2 linked regions of the Neodiprion lecontei genome follow. The protein of the gene in region 2 interacts with the protein of the main gene of each other region in a pairwise test. Links are inferred from orthologs where the notes say so. Each region holds a gene or a part of one and is shown on either strand. Other genes may lie near its edges.

Region 1 (5,167 bases), on a different chromosome or scaffold from region 2:
ATAAGTTTGAACGGTCGTAAATTTCATGTCCGTGTGAAAGAATTTACAGATTTTCGGAACGTGGGTTTAGGTTGCGTGCACTGAGGCTATGACAATTGCTGACAAGCGTGAGAGGTCAGGATGTGACCTTTGCATACTTTGAGTCCTCGTTCATAAATTCTTCCGTTAAAGTGTGTCTCCTCAACGAATAAAATACGGCGAGAGGGCAGTCTTGAGTATAGAGGAAAAAAAATTATTTCCCTACCCACACTGTTCACGAATTACCGGACCGGATTCATTTTATTCGCGTTTCACACACATCGGTGATTTATAATCAGGTGAGAGGAAAAAAAATTCGGCATTCATCATTCGCTATGTTGAAAACCGAATTTCATGCGCGGTAATGCGATGGATAAGATGTACTTTAATTTTGAAAAATAAATACTCACCAAGCATGCATTGGAATTACAATTCCCGACGTTTCGTATCTCTTGCAAGCTTCCCCAACGCGGTTTTTCGCTCTTGTTGGAATGGGAATGAAGAAGGGAAGTGCATTCCATTGTCGGTTTCAAATCCTCCAAACTGTGCACCAGAGACTTCGAAATACTGTAAACCTTCGGACTCAGCTTGGTGAGGTCTTCGTCGGTAAAATTTCCGAGCATTAGTTTTTCGTTGCTCAAACTGCAGTCCACGTTCTCCCGCCATTCGAGCGCGTCGTTTATTCCAATATTATTGTCCTCCCGAGTTACCTCGGATGAGGCAGCCATCGTACTAGGCAACCCCAAGCTGGGTATAGGCGGAGCAGATGGTCCCAAACAGGTGTTGCTCCCCCTCCTATCCCGGTCTTCATCCCCACACGGACCAGATGCCATCGACATACCGCATCCTTCTCCGACGTTGGGAATTTTACTAAAATTTATTCCACCGCGTTTTCCGTTGGCGTCATACGAGAAATCAGCATCCTTGAATTGGCTACCTTTAACATCATCGATCCATCTAACATCTGGTATTGCTCTGACTGTTAATTTAGACCCTGAGGACTCATTGGCTGGCTTTAGCCTCGGTCGGATGCCGTTTTTTTGATTTGAAACGATCGCGGAATCTCTGAGATGCAAATTTGGCAAATACTGTCTTCGATCGTGAAAATCAGCCGTCATATTTCGATCCGATTGATTTCCATAGTCATCCTTAAAACCTATCCCGGAGTCGCTGTTGCTAGAATGAGCCGTGGAGGTACTGACGTTACTTGGTTGAGGAGAAGCTGCTTGACGATGCCTCGCCTCGTCGTTGTAAGGATTAGATTCGCTGTCGGTGTCTGATATGTAGAGTGTTTGTATGGCACCAATTAGACTGTTGCAACTGTCGGGAAATTCTTGGCAGACATTTAACTCCGACGTTTTTGTGCATGTGAATCCAAATATGTTACAAGTATTGGAATGTACGGCATGGTCTATCAGCTTATAGTATATGGTGAACACATGGCACGAATTTGACACTATATTGTCATTGTCTTTTACCGACTTTGTTAGAATACCAAAATATTGTTTATCCAGTTCAGAAAACGAGTTGCAAAATACTATTCGAAAGGATGGATATTCCGCTATCACTTTATTATCGGAATTTGTCAATTTTATGTTAGCGACATGGATTGTTAGAAGTACCGTTGTGGGATTTCTCTTTTCTGCTTTCAGTCTTTTCACACACTTCTTTAGGACCTGTAAAATAACAATGTAATTAAGATTGTTGGGTCGATACAATCAGTATAATTTTGAATTTCAAGCAGTTTTTGCAATCTTTGTTACAGAAGTGACCACAGACTTGTAAAGTCTACCTCTAATGTTTCATCGTCAATAGCAATTACATTTAAAAGAACAAACAGTTACTACTAAGGTTTAAGATAATGGTGATTCCTTAAAGAAGATTCCGAACATCTTGTCGTGTTTGTTGTTCAAGTATTTACATGTTCAACTGCAATGCATGAGAAAAGTAACAAAGCTACTGCAAGGGTCAAGGTTTTCGTACAGAAGTAAGTTCCAATTCAAATTCTCCAATTAGCGGTAAGCCTACCTGCATCATTGAGGATGGAGGTAATTGATTGGGTATATCGATGGTGCCTAGATAACCAACAATGGTGCGATGTACAATCTTTTCGGTGTCTCGTTTTGAAGATAAAGGCGGAGGTGGCGGTGGTAGAGGGCTGGCCATATTCCATCGATGATGAAGGGATGCGTGGCTGCACTGTATTTTGTTTTGAGACGAGCGATTAAGTGCGTCAAACATGGCCCCACTGTGCAAGTCTCGAACAACTTTGGCTATCGCACATTGTACCGGAGCAGGGGTGACGGTGTTTGTTCTTAGCTTGTGCGAGTATTTTGGTTTGGATCGGACCGTCGCCAGTCCCTCCTCATCGGACGAGTCGGAGTAGTAATTTTCAGCAATTTGTAATCTCAAAAATCCCTTGGAGTTTCCTATCAATCGAACAACCTCGTCGTGAGGAATTTTGCTCACGCTGTGACCATTTACAGCCACAAGATAATCTCCAGATCTGAGACCAGCATTGTCCGCCGAACTTCCCTGGACGATGCAACTCAGTATGCAGGGCTGCTGACCAGATATCGTGAAGCCAAAACCCTTGCTGCCGCGAAGTAATTCGACAACTCTGACGCCGTAATTCACCCGCTTTTTCTTCCTCCTGTTATGGTGCATATTCATTCGTTTATTTTATCGCACCTACACCCGATGCCCTTGCAATATGTTACGACGAGCCGTGGAGGCGTCGAGGAGCGTTTATAACTGCCAAGAATTCTCGTAACATTGTATCAAGCTAAATTTCATATTGTTTAACACACCGCGTATACTTATGTTACAACACACACTTGTCACCGTCAAAGCTGCATTCAGATTCCCCACCCGGGAAGTAACGCGTATTTCCTATCTCCCTCGCAACGTCCAACAGTTCGCTTGACCTTTCTCTTTCTAATGTTAATTTCTATCCTCGGGTGAGGAATATGGAACCACGGCTGAACGCAGCTCCACAAACTTTATAGCATATAGGTATGCCAGTTCAGCGTTCCCATCGCTAGGACTGCAGTTTGTTACACGCTGGAAATCCGGCAGAAGAGAGACGAAGCAAATCAACAATCCAGGGATACGACGAAGACGCAAGAATGTCAGTAGATGAACCACGATAACAGAGATGAGCATCTCTGACGCTGGCTTTTGGACACACTTTAAGTTTATGCGGCGAACTAGGTGTTAGTGTGCTGCCCCCTATGCAAATGCCTTTATAAATTAGAGGCATGATTGGTATATAACGTAAGCACAGCATTCTGCTTTACCGCCGTACGAGGCATTCAGAAGACCGGTTTCGAAATAAGTGACGATGAGTGGTTCATCTTCTACCGCGTTTCCAATAACAACACATTTGAATCTGGATCTACGAACTGGATTAGGCATATAGTTTAGTTGTAGGGAGATTACCGCCGCGTTCGGTGCGTTTAGCTCAACATAAACACTCCAATTCCTGACTTATTCGGAATTTTATGTGGACACACAGTTGCGGAGTAATTATTACCGAGAATACGTCACGACAAGAAGAGTAAATGCACGGAAGTGTGACAGTTCTCATAATAATCTGATAATAATGATGCAGAATGTGAATCAGGGTTATAAGGGAATTCTAAAGGCTTCGATCAAATAGCTAACTGAACCTGACGAACATCGCAATTCTTGGAAAAGGGATATAGTGAAAAAGTTGATACGAGATTAGTGGCTAAGTTTGGTAGTGATTTCGCGCATACTGGATACAACCGTGCAACTGCGAGTACAAGCGAAGTGAGTCGGGACAACATTCTTCGATTCTTTAGGTAAGTCTTGCATCCATATTGCATCCAACTAATCATTTCTCGCTGCTGTAACCGCGAAATAATTTACCCCTTTCATCAGTTGTACGATTGAGGATTTGCTTTAGAAGATGCGCTGAGCGTTGATGAAGATATATTCTGAAGATATATTCCTCAGTGAACGCACTGACCTGGTACTCATCTTTTTTTGCTAGCATTATTCAAACGCGAATCAATGTTTCTCTCCTCCTGTTTCTCTCTCGCACCGCGGGAAAACATCAAACTTCGGTCGTGCATTGCGTGTTATGAAAATATGGGAGTGGCGGAAGAGGGAGGCAGAGCGACTATTTTAAAAACTTGCATTTGTTAGATGTAAAGAAAGGTTAATTTTTGTCGATTTGTGGTTCGCGAAACACTCCTTAGCACAAAATGTATATAAGACGTGGGGTGCCTTATGTAATCTTTTGGACACTGATCGTAGTGTTCTTTTACATAACGTTTAAACAATTTTCTGTGGTTAGAAAATCGAGTCCAGTTTACTTTCGAAAGATCAACAGTAGCCAAATCGATAGAGGAAATTTGTTGAATTTAAATCCCTTTCGATATGTAATAAACACTGACTGCGATACTAGCTTTCTTGTTTGGGTTGTCACTTCGTACGCTGCTGATGTGTCGGCCAGAAGTGCGTTACGCAGGGCTTACTCCGAGTCTGAATTGGAAGAATTGGGAGTTAGAAGAATATTTTTATTAGCATTGTTACACGATGACGTTCAAAATAAAACCCACGTCACCCAAAATGCTATTTTAGATGAAGCACGGCGATACAATGACATTATTCAAGGCAACTTTATTGAGGCATACAAAAATCTTACCTACAAACATGTAATGGGCCTGAAATGGGCTACGCAATATTGTAAAAATGCTTCGTACATCATGAAAATGGATCATGACATTGTAGTGGACCTTTACAAAATTATAGATGTAATAAAAGCAGCCAGTATACCGCATAATATTGTGATGGGTTACGTACTGAGAAATATGAGTCCCATACGCGAACCAATGAACAAATGGTACGTTACTAGGGATGAGTATATTGCGGACTTCTATCCAGACTTTTTATCTGGTTGGTTATATGTAACGACTCTAAAAACTGCCAAAGATTTGGTTGATGTTGCACAGATTTATCCCAAGTATTTTTGGATAGATGATCTATTTCTTACAGGTATCATTAGAGAGGAATTAGGTGTAAAATTTCACGATATACATGAAATTTATACAACAAATAATGAATATTTGAATTGTTGCTTGAAAGCTCGTACGAAAAAATTCAAATGCGACTTTGCAGT
Region 2 (6,791 bases):
CGATTCAATGAATGAAGAAACATCGTTTTTTTACCATTTTTACACATTCGATTATTGCGGCGAAAATGATGACCATTGAATTAAATAATCAATTCGGAACAATATGTATTTATCACTATCGTGGCTAATCAATCGCAATCTAGATGAAATTTTTTTTGAAATAGCTGTGTTCAACATTATCAACGATTTAAAACAGATTACAATGTCGTTAAAATGAAATTTAAATTCGTTACGCAGACTAAAATAAATTACGCAATCGATTCGCGATATCCTTATTTAGTGTATAGAGACTGTATATCTCCGGAACAAATTCATACTGTTCATTTCCATTCAATTCAAGGTTACTCGCTCAAGAATTTCCATCATTGTCAATCTCTGTCGACCTAGTTTTCTACCCAGCTTTCCATACTGGATATTTTACTAAACTGCTCGAAGTAAAATAATTGACACATTCGAACGGCAGAGACTTGAGTTTTCCTTTCGATTGTTTCATTTTGATAAAAAAAAAAACTCAACCGATGCAGCAGTTCTAATTTCAGGTTTACTATAAATGTATTGCATAATAGAATCGGACGCTTCTTTCAATGTCATGTAACATAAGGAGACGCAAGGCTACAGAGCGATTGGAACTGGGACTAAAAAAAAAGTGTCTTGAGAAAAATCCGGTCCAACGAACGGAATAACTATGCATAAATGAATGACAACGTGCTCTGTTGTAACCCAAGATATACCTACAGACGCTTGCCAATTTGGTAAATTGCTATTTTGACGACAGAACAACGAGCATCCTTACACGGGACGCTGATTTTAATCCTGTCAATATAACGAGTGCAAAATTATTGTAATAGGTTGCCGTCATTAAAGTTCTGTGCTGCGTTTTAAATATTGATACAATCACGAGAATTTGTACGTATTAACCGCCACAAAAAGCAGGTTTATGAATATGGAATACAACATTCTACGGACTATTTTAATGTTGAAACTTAAAATAACTTCAGTATGAATGCGAGTTTTTTTTTTAATATTTGTAATTGAATACAAGACATAACTCATCATTTTATGATTAATGACACCGCTATTTGAATTTTATGCACTTTTATACGGTGTCAGTTTGCACCAGGAATGTAAGTTTTTCAGCCCGCTAGATAGATTGCTCGTGGGACTGATGGGTGAACTGTAATACTGACATTTCGTGAAAAATATAAAATGCAATTTTCTAAATGTATTTAAAAGTAAATCAAATCGTTTCAATTCATTGACATTTTTTCATCTTTGAATAAAGAAATTTTATTCTTTGTCTCGAGTAATTTCCTCATTAAACAGAGGTATCTTTTCAACGTTTAATTAACGCGATGATGAAAGAACGTGGCATTCCAATTGGCTACCCACCGTGTAGCTTCACTTTCATGAAGCGACTACGCGCATGACTGTACTTTTTTAAATAGATAAACAAGAACTCGAAATTAACGGTAATACACAATTGTAATGCAACTGGCCACCGTTCTTCAACGAATGGTAAACTTTTGAAAACAATTTCGGAGCGAAACTAATTGGTAGCACTAAAAACTCTCTAGTACAGAGGCAGAGCTAGTCACGAACTCGGTTGTGCAAAAGAGATAAAGGATTGTTGACAAGACTGGGAATAAATTTCGGAACGCAACCTTAGGCAAGAAAAAAGATCTTAAAACAAATAGACGTGGAGGAAGCCTGGTATACCCTTTCGTGTAAGTGGAAAACGGCATGGAGAGGGTAGTGGTAAGACTAGTTCCCTTCTTTGTCTAACGCAGTTATAGAGAGATAGTAGAGAGAGAGAGTATCTGGTCTTAGTACGTCCCTCTCTCTCTACGGCTCGACACTCTCTCGGCATGATAAAACGGGTGCTGATTATATAAATGTCCGCCACGCGTTAAAATAGCGCTAGAATCGTTGAGTACAAAATGTCGAGTTGGTAACCCGTCTAGATCTTTCTTACACATCCAATGCTTGTCGAGTCTAAAATGGAGCGCGTCGGCGCATAGTTGCGTGATAAGTCATTGGTGTGGGCGCGTCAAATGTTTTAAACATAAAGTCGAGCAGCAGACCCGTGTAGTATTCGTGTTAAATAATGAACAATAATTTGTGGAATAAAAGAGGCGAGGGGGTGGACGGTGAGCTGTAATAGATGTTTATTGGGGAATCGGTAAACCCGGACTGCGACCAAGCCGTCGTATGTGCGGATATACGTGTGTAATAGGAGTTCGGTCGGTACTTGGGGCCTCCGTCTTCTGTCGTTGGCTGCACTCGGTGCACGGGGCGGGCGGTTCCCACACGCAATACAAGGCGAAGCAACAAGTGTCACCCGGAGTTTGATTCGACCGATATACGATTTGCGGCGCCGATCTTATCCTGGCCGATTTCACGCAGACCTTACTTCTGCCAGGCGTTCCAGTCACTCGAAACGAGGACTATTTGAACGATTTATTGAACGTGATATAGCAAAGAATCGAAAAATGGGATGCGCCGTTAGCACTACCGGCGACAAGGAGGCTGCCGAGAGGTCTAAGAAAATTGACAAAGATCTCAGAATGGATGGCGAACGCGCTGCCAGCGAGGTCAAACTCCTGCTTCTTGGTAAATTATCATCTAAACACAAAATAACGATGTGTTGAACTAAATTTTATGCAAGTTTCTCTTCGTTCCGCGGCTCGTCGCTATCGCGTCCGAGACCCGTTCATCGTTTTTTCCGTCGTTCCGCGATTCGCGGACATGAAAAAACAAAAGAGAAACGAAACAAAAACGGACGAACTGTGCGTAAATACTGCTTGTTTTCGCACGCTTAATTTTTACACATCCCGTGCAAATTGCTAACGTGTTACCATTTACTTTTTGTTTCTTCTCGGTTTGTTTGATAGCGTTTTATCTCTCCTCGTTTACTGAGAACGGGACTAACGCGACCATGTTCTCTTAATTGAAATGGTAAAAACAGCCAATTAACGTATGATTCAATGGTATAATTAAGGCCGCGATGAATCCGGCCGTCAAAACGATGCGAAAAATTATTCTTTCATCTTTGTTTACCCCATTTCTTCTTATCGTAACTCGTCGTTCTTCTAAATTACCTTCTCTTACACTATATTGTCAAATTGAATTTACCAAAAATTATTATTATTATTAGAAATTGACCTAACTGAGGTTTTTTCACCACTGGTCATTACACAAATGGGTTTAGAACTTTTCTAATTTCTCTCATCTTATTTCTCATGGCAATGAGATGAGATAGCAAAAAACATCCTATCCTCCTTAATGCTACACAGGATATTGCAATGCATGTATCCACACAGCATGGTTGATTGTAGTAAAATAGCTGATTGATGTCTGCCTGTATACACATGGCTTCTCGTCACTAGATGATTCAGCTGAGGGAAGGGAACACTCATGGATTTCACAATTATTAAATTTCACTATTATCTTATCTCATGGAAAGCTGGTGGTGACATATTATTTCAATTATGAGCTGAGAAGAATTATGATTAATATGTTGAAATACCTGACGAATTATGTTTGCAACAAAAAAAAAAAAATTTTCAATGACCAAAACTTCAATTAATGTTCCTAAGCTACAAGAAACATGTGACAATTTTTTTTTCCCCCCGATCTATTTCAAGGTAATTTTTACAACAATTCATTTCATTTTTATTCCAAGGTGCTGGAGAGTCCGGAAAATCGACGATCGTTAAACAGATGAGAATCATTCATGAAACCGGGTACAGTAAAGAAGAATGCGAAGAGTATAAACCGGTTGTTTATAGCAATACTATACAGAGTCTGATGACAATTATCAGAGCCATGGGTCAGCTAAGAATTGATTTTGCAGACCCAAATAAGGTGGTGCGTAAATTTTTCGAAAGCAACATGTAAACGTGTTTTAATGACTGAAAGTTAATATTATTTTCCACTCCAATTTTCGTTAAATGAATTACTCTACTGTTAAAAATGATCAAAATTGTTCAAATTGCATCCCGGGATCTTTTATCTGATGAAAAATAAACTTTTGCTAATATTTATGGTATTCATGCATTAATAAATTCGTCACCTTCTAGGATATTGCTAGGCAATTTTTCACTCTAGCATCGGCAGCAGAGGAGGGTGACCTGACGGGAGAGCTAGTTTTATTAATGAAGAGATTATGGCAGGACGCAGGAGTACAACTTTGTTTCACACGTAGTAGAGAATATCAGCTCAATGATTCGGCGGCATATTACCTCAATGCTCTTGATCGCATTGCCCAACCCCATTACATACCGACACAACAGGATGTTCTCAGGACCAGAGTCAAAACGACAGGAATCGTTGAAACGGAGTTTTCGTTTAAAGGGATTGACTTCAAGTGAGTTCTTCAATCTTTCAAACATCATATTAATATCAATTTTTGTCTCTAGCACTGCCATGAATATGTCGCCACAGCCCAATATTGAATTATCTATGGTCAATCCAAGTTCTCGGGAATTACTTTCTTATTCTCTTTCCAGAATGTTTGATGTTGGTGGACAAAGATCAGAACGTAAAAAATGGATTCACTGCTTCGAGGGGGTAACAGCGATAATATTCTGCGTTGCACTGAGTGGTTACGATTTAGTCTTGGCCGAGGATGAGGAGATGAACAGGATGATAGAATCAATGAAGTTGTTCGATTCGATATGTAACAGTAAATGGTTTGTCGATACGTCGATAATTCTGTTTTTAAACAAGAAAGATCTGTTTGAGGATAAAATAACGAGGAGCCCTTTGACCATATGCTTTCCTGAATATAAAGGGCCGAATACATACGAAGATTGCGCATCATACATTCAAATGAAATTTGAAAACTTGAACAAAAGAAAAGACCGTAAAAAAATATACACGCACTTCACATGTGCGACTGACACCAATAACATTCAATTCGTATTTGATGCTGTGACTGATGTTATAATTAAGAACAACTTGAGTAACTGCGGCTTATTATTAAGCTGAACAATTTCAGAATCCGTCGATGATGCCGATTAAATCAAAACATTCTGAATCCGCGACACGTCTATAATTTTCACCTCTAATACTGGTTATTAATGGTTGATAAATCGAGGGCGTTCATCAGTTTGGAATGCTTTAAAAACTCGTGCGAATTGTCTGTCCGGATCAAAAATATAAATTTTTCACCAAATCTCATCAGGCATTTAGTTTTTAGACATTAGGTGTTTAATTAAAATCTTCATTCCTAGTACGCGATACTTAATCAAAATGAATCTAATTTAAATCATAATCCACGTTTGATAGAAAAAACTATTTTTTTTTTTTTTTTCGAAACGCACGTTTTTACCGCACAGAATCTCCGCGCAAAACTCGTCTTTATAGTTTATAGAAAATCATAGCATGGCACTTTTCTAATGTTTCTTTTTTTTATACTTTGTATATTAGAAGTAAATTAGCTTTATTGCGCATAATATACTCGATATATCGTTTTAATAACAAACTATAACACGGTCGTCTTTTGTCAGTTTCTGAACACCAATTTTTAATGTCTGGAATTATTAATCAAAAATTGATGAGATCGTAGGGTGCTTAAAAAGACTGTGTATTCAGTATTTCATTTTTTGTTTCTACTTTTAAATTGGAAGATTTCATTATTCTATTTCGGCCAAAAATAACACGACAGAGAGAAAGCGTCGTAAAACCCGAAACTTCTCGCGAAAATTTTAATAAAAATATTTAAACGTCATTGAAAAAATGTATAAAAGTTTTACTCAATTGAAAGAAAACTATGTTTCCTCAAATTGAATATAAAAACAAGCGATTTTAAACAACAATTTATCATTGTTTAACTGGAAATTGACAACGTGCCTTTTTTTCGCTTCATCGTACAAGTTTCTATGATTTTTTCGATGATGTTTGATGAAATTCATCGCCGTAAGCCAGATTGCAAGAAGATAAAACCAATATTAGACTAGATATATGAAACTTTTTTTAAACACCCTAGATGTATGTATGTCTTTTAAGTAGCTCCAGCAAATTTGGTTTTGTTCCGATCGTGTTGTAGTTTAAAAAATAGTCTGAAACAATCGTCTCTGTATATAATTTATTATAGTGGAAGAAGAAAGAAAAATGAAAGAAAATGTTGCAAAAAAAAAAAGAAAAAGAGAAAGAGAAAGAATCTACTGGAATCTCAAATCTAGTACCTAAAATCTCTAAAATGGACCAATTTGTGTGTTAGTTAATAATAATAACAATAATAATAATATCTGGTTTAATTCATGAATTCCAGTTTCGTCTATTATGAAAATAGATTTGTTTTCGAAGTATTTTTTTACGTGTACAGTTACGTGTATGTTTGTTTGTTCGTTTTTTTTTTGTTTCTCATGCAATAACAAAATATGTGTACTTCATAATTCACGGTAATAACAACAATAATCAATATTACTGTTGGACCTTTCTAGCTGTATATTCGCGTTGTCCGAGAAGTACGACATTCCATTCCATTCTATTTCATTTGCACGATCTGATTGTTGAACTACAGGCTACCAAGCAATCCCTTCATCTTTAATTTTCAAAACACTGGATACTGTTTTCATGAAATCAGATAAACCATATTTAAAATGTCATCTTGTCGATATTTTGCATGGGGTTTAGATTGACTATTTAACGTTGTTGGAAAGAGAAGTGAAATTGAACAACTTTTTTCTAGCAGCCCTATGCTTTTTTCATATTTTAATTACATAGCTTATGAACTAACGTCAAATTTTCGGAGCTTATAACGTTATTTGTAACACAATGTAATCGAC

What was found.
Region 1: the proteins of guanine nucleotide-binding protein G(i) subunit alpha (region 2) and regulator of G-protein signaling loco interact in a two-hybrid assay, tested with the Drosophila melanogaster proteins (2 studies listed by BioGRID). The link is inferred for Neodiprion lecontei from reciprocal best matches to the Drosophila melanogaster genes Galphai and loco.

Annotation. Positions count from the first base shown.
Region 1 is NC_060265.1:25,279,409-25,284,575, reverse strand, and holds the start of regulator of G-protein signaling loco, read right to left. Parts: upstream 3,034-5,167; 5' UTR 2,692-3,033; coding exon 2,047-2,691; intron 1,695-2,046; coding exon 429-1,694; intron 1-428. Other genes in the region: beta-1,3-galactosyltransferase 5-like, read left to right, coding at 4,251-5,167. UniProt on the Drosophila melanogaster protein: Acts as a regulator of G protein signaling (RGS).
Region 2 is NC_060264.1:31,887,221-31,894,011, reverse strand, and holds guanine nucleotide-binding protein G(i) subunit alpha, read left to right. Parts: upstream 1-1,993; 5' UTR 1,994-2,489; coding exon 2,490-2,610; intron 2,611-3,682; coding exon 3,683-3,867; intron 3,868-4,079; coding exon 4,080-4,366; intron 4,367-4,508; coding exon 4,509-4,989; 3' UTR 4,990-6,208; downstream 6,209-6,791. UniProt on the Drosophila melanogaster protein: Guanine nucleotide-binding proteins (G proteins) are involved as modulators or transducers in various transmembrane signaling systems.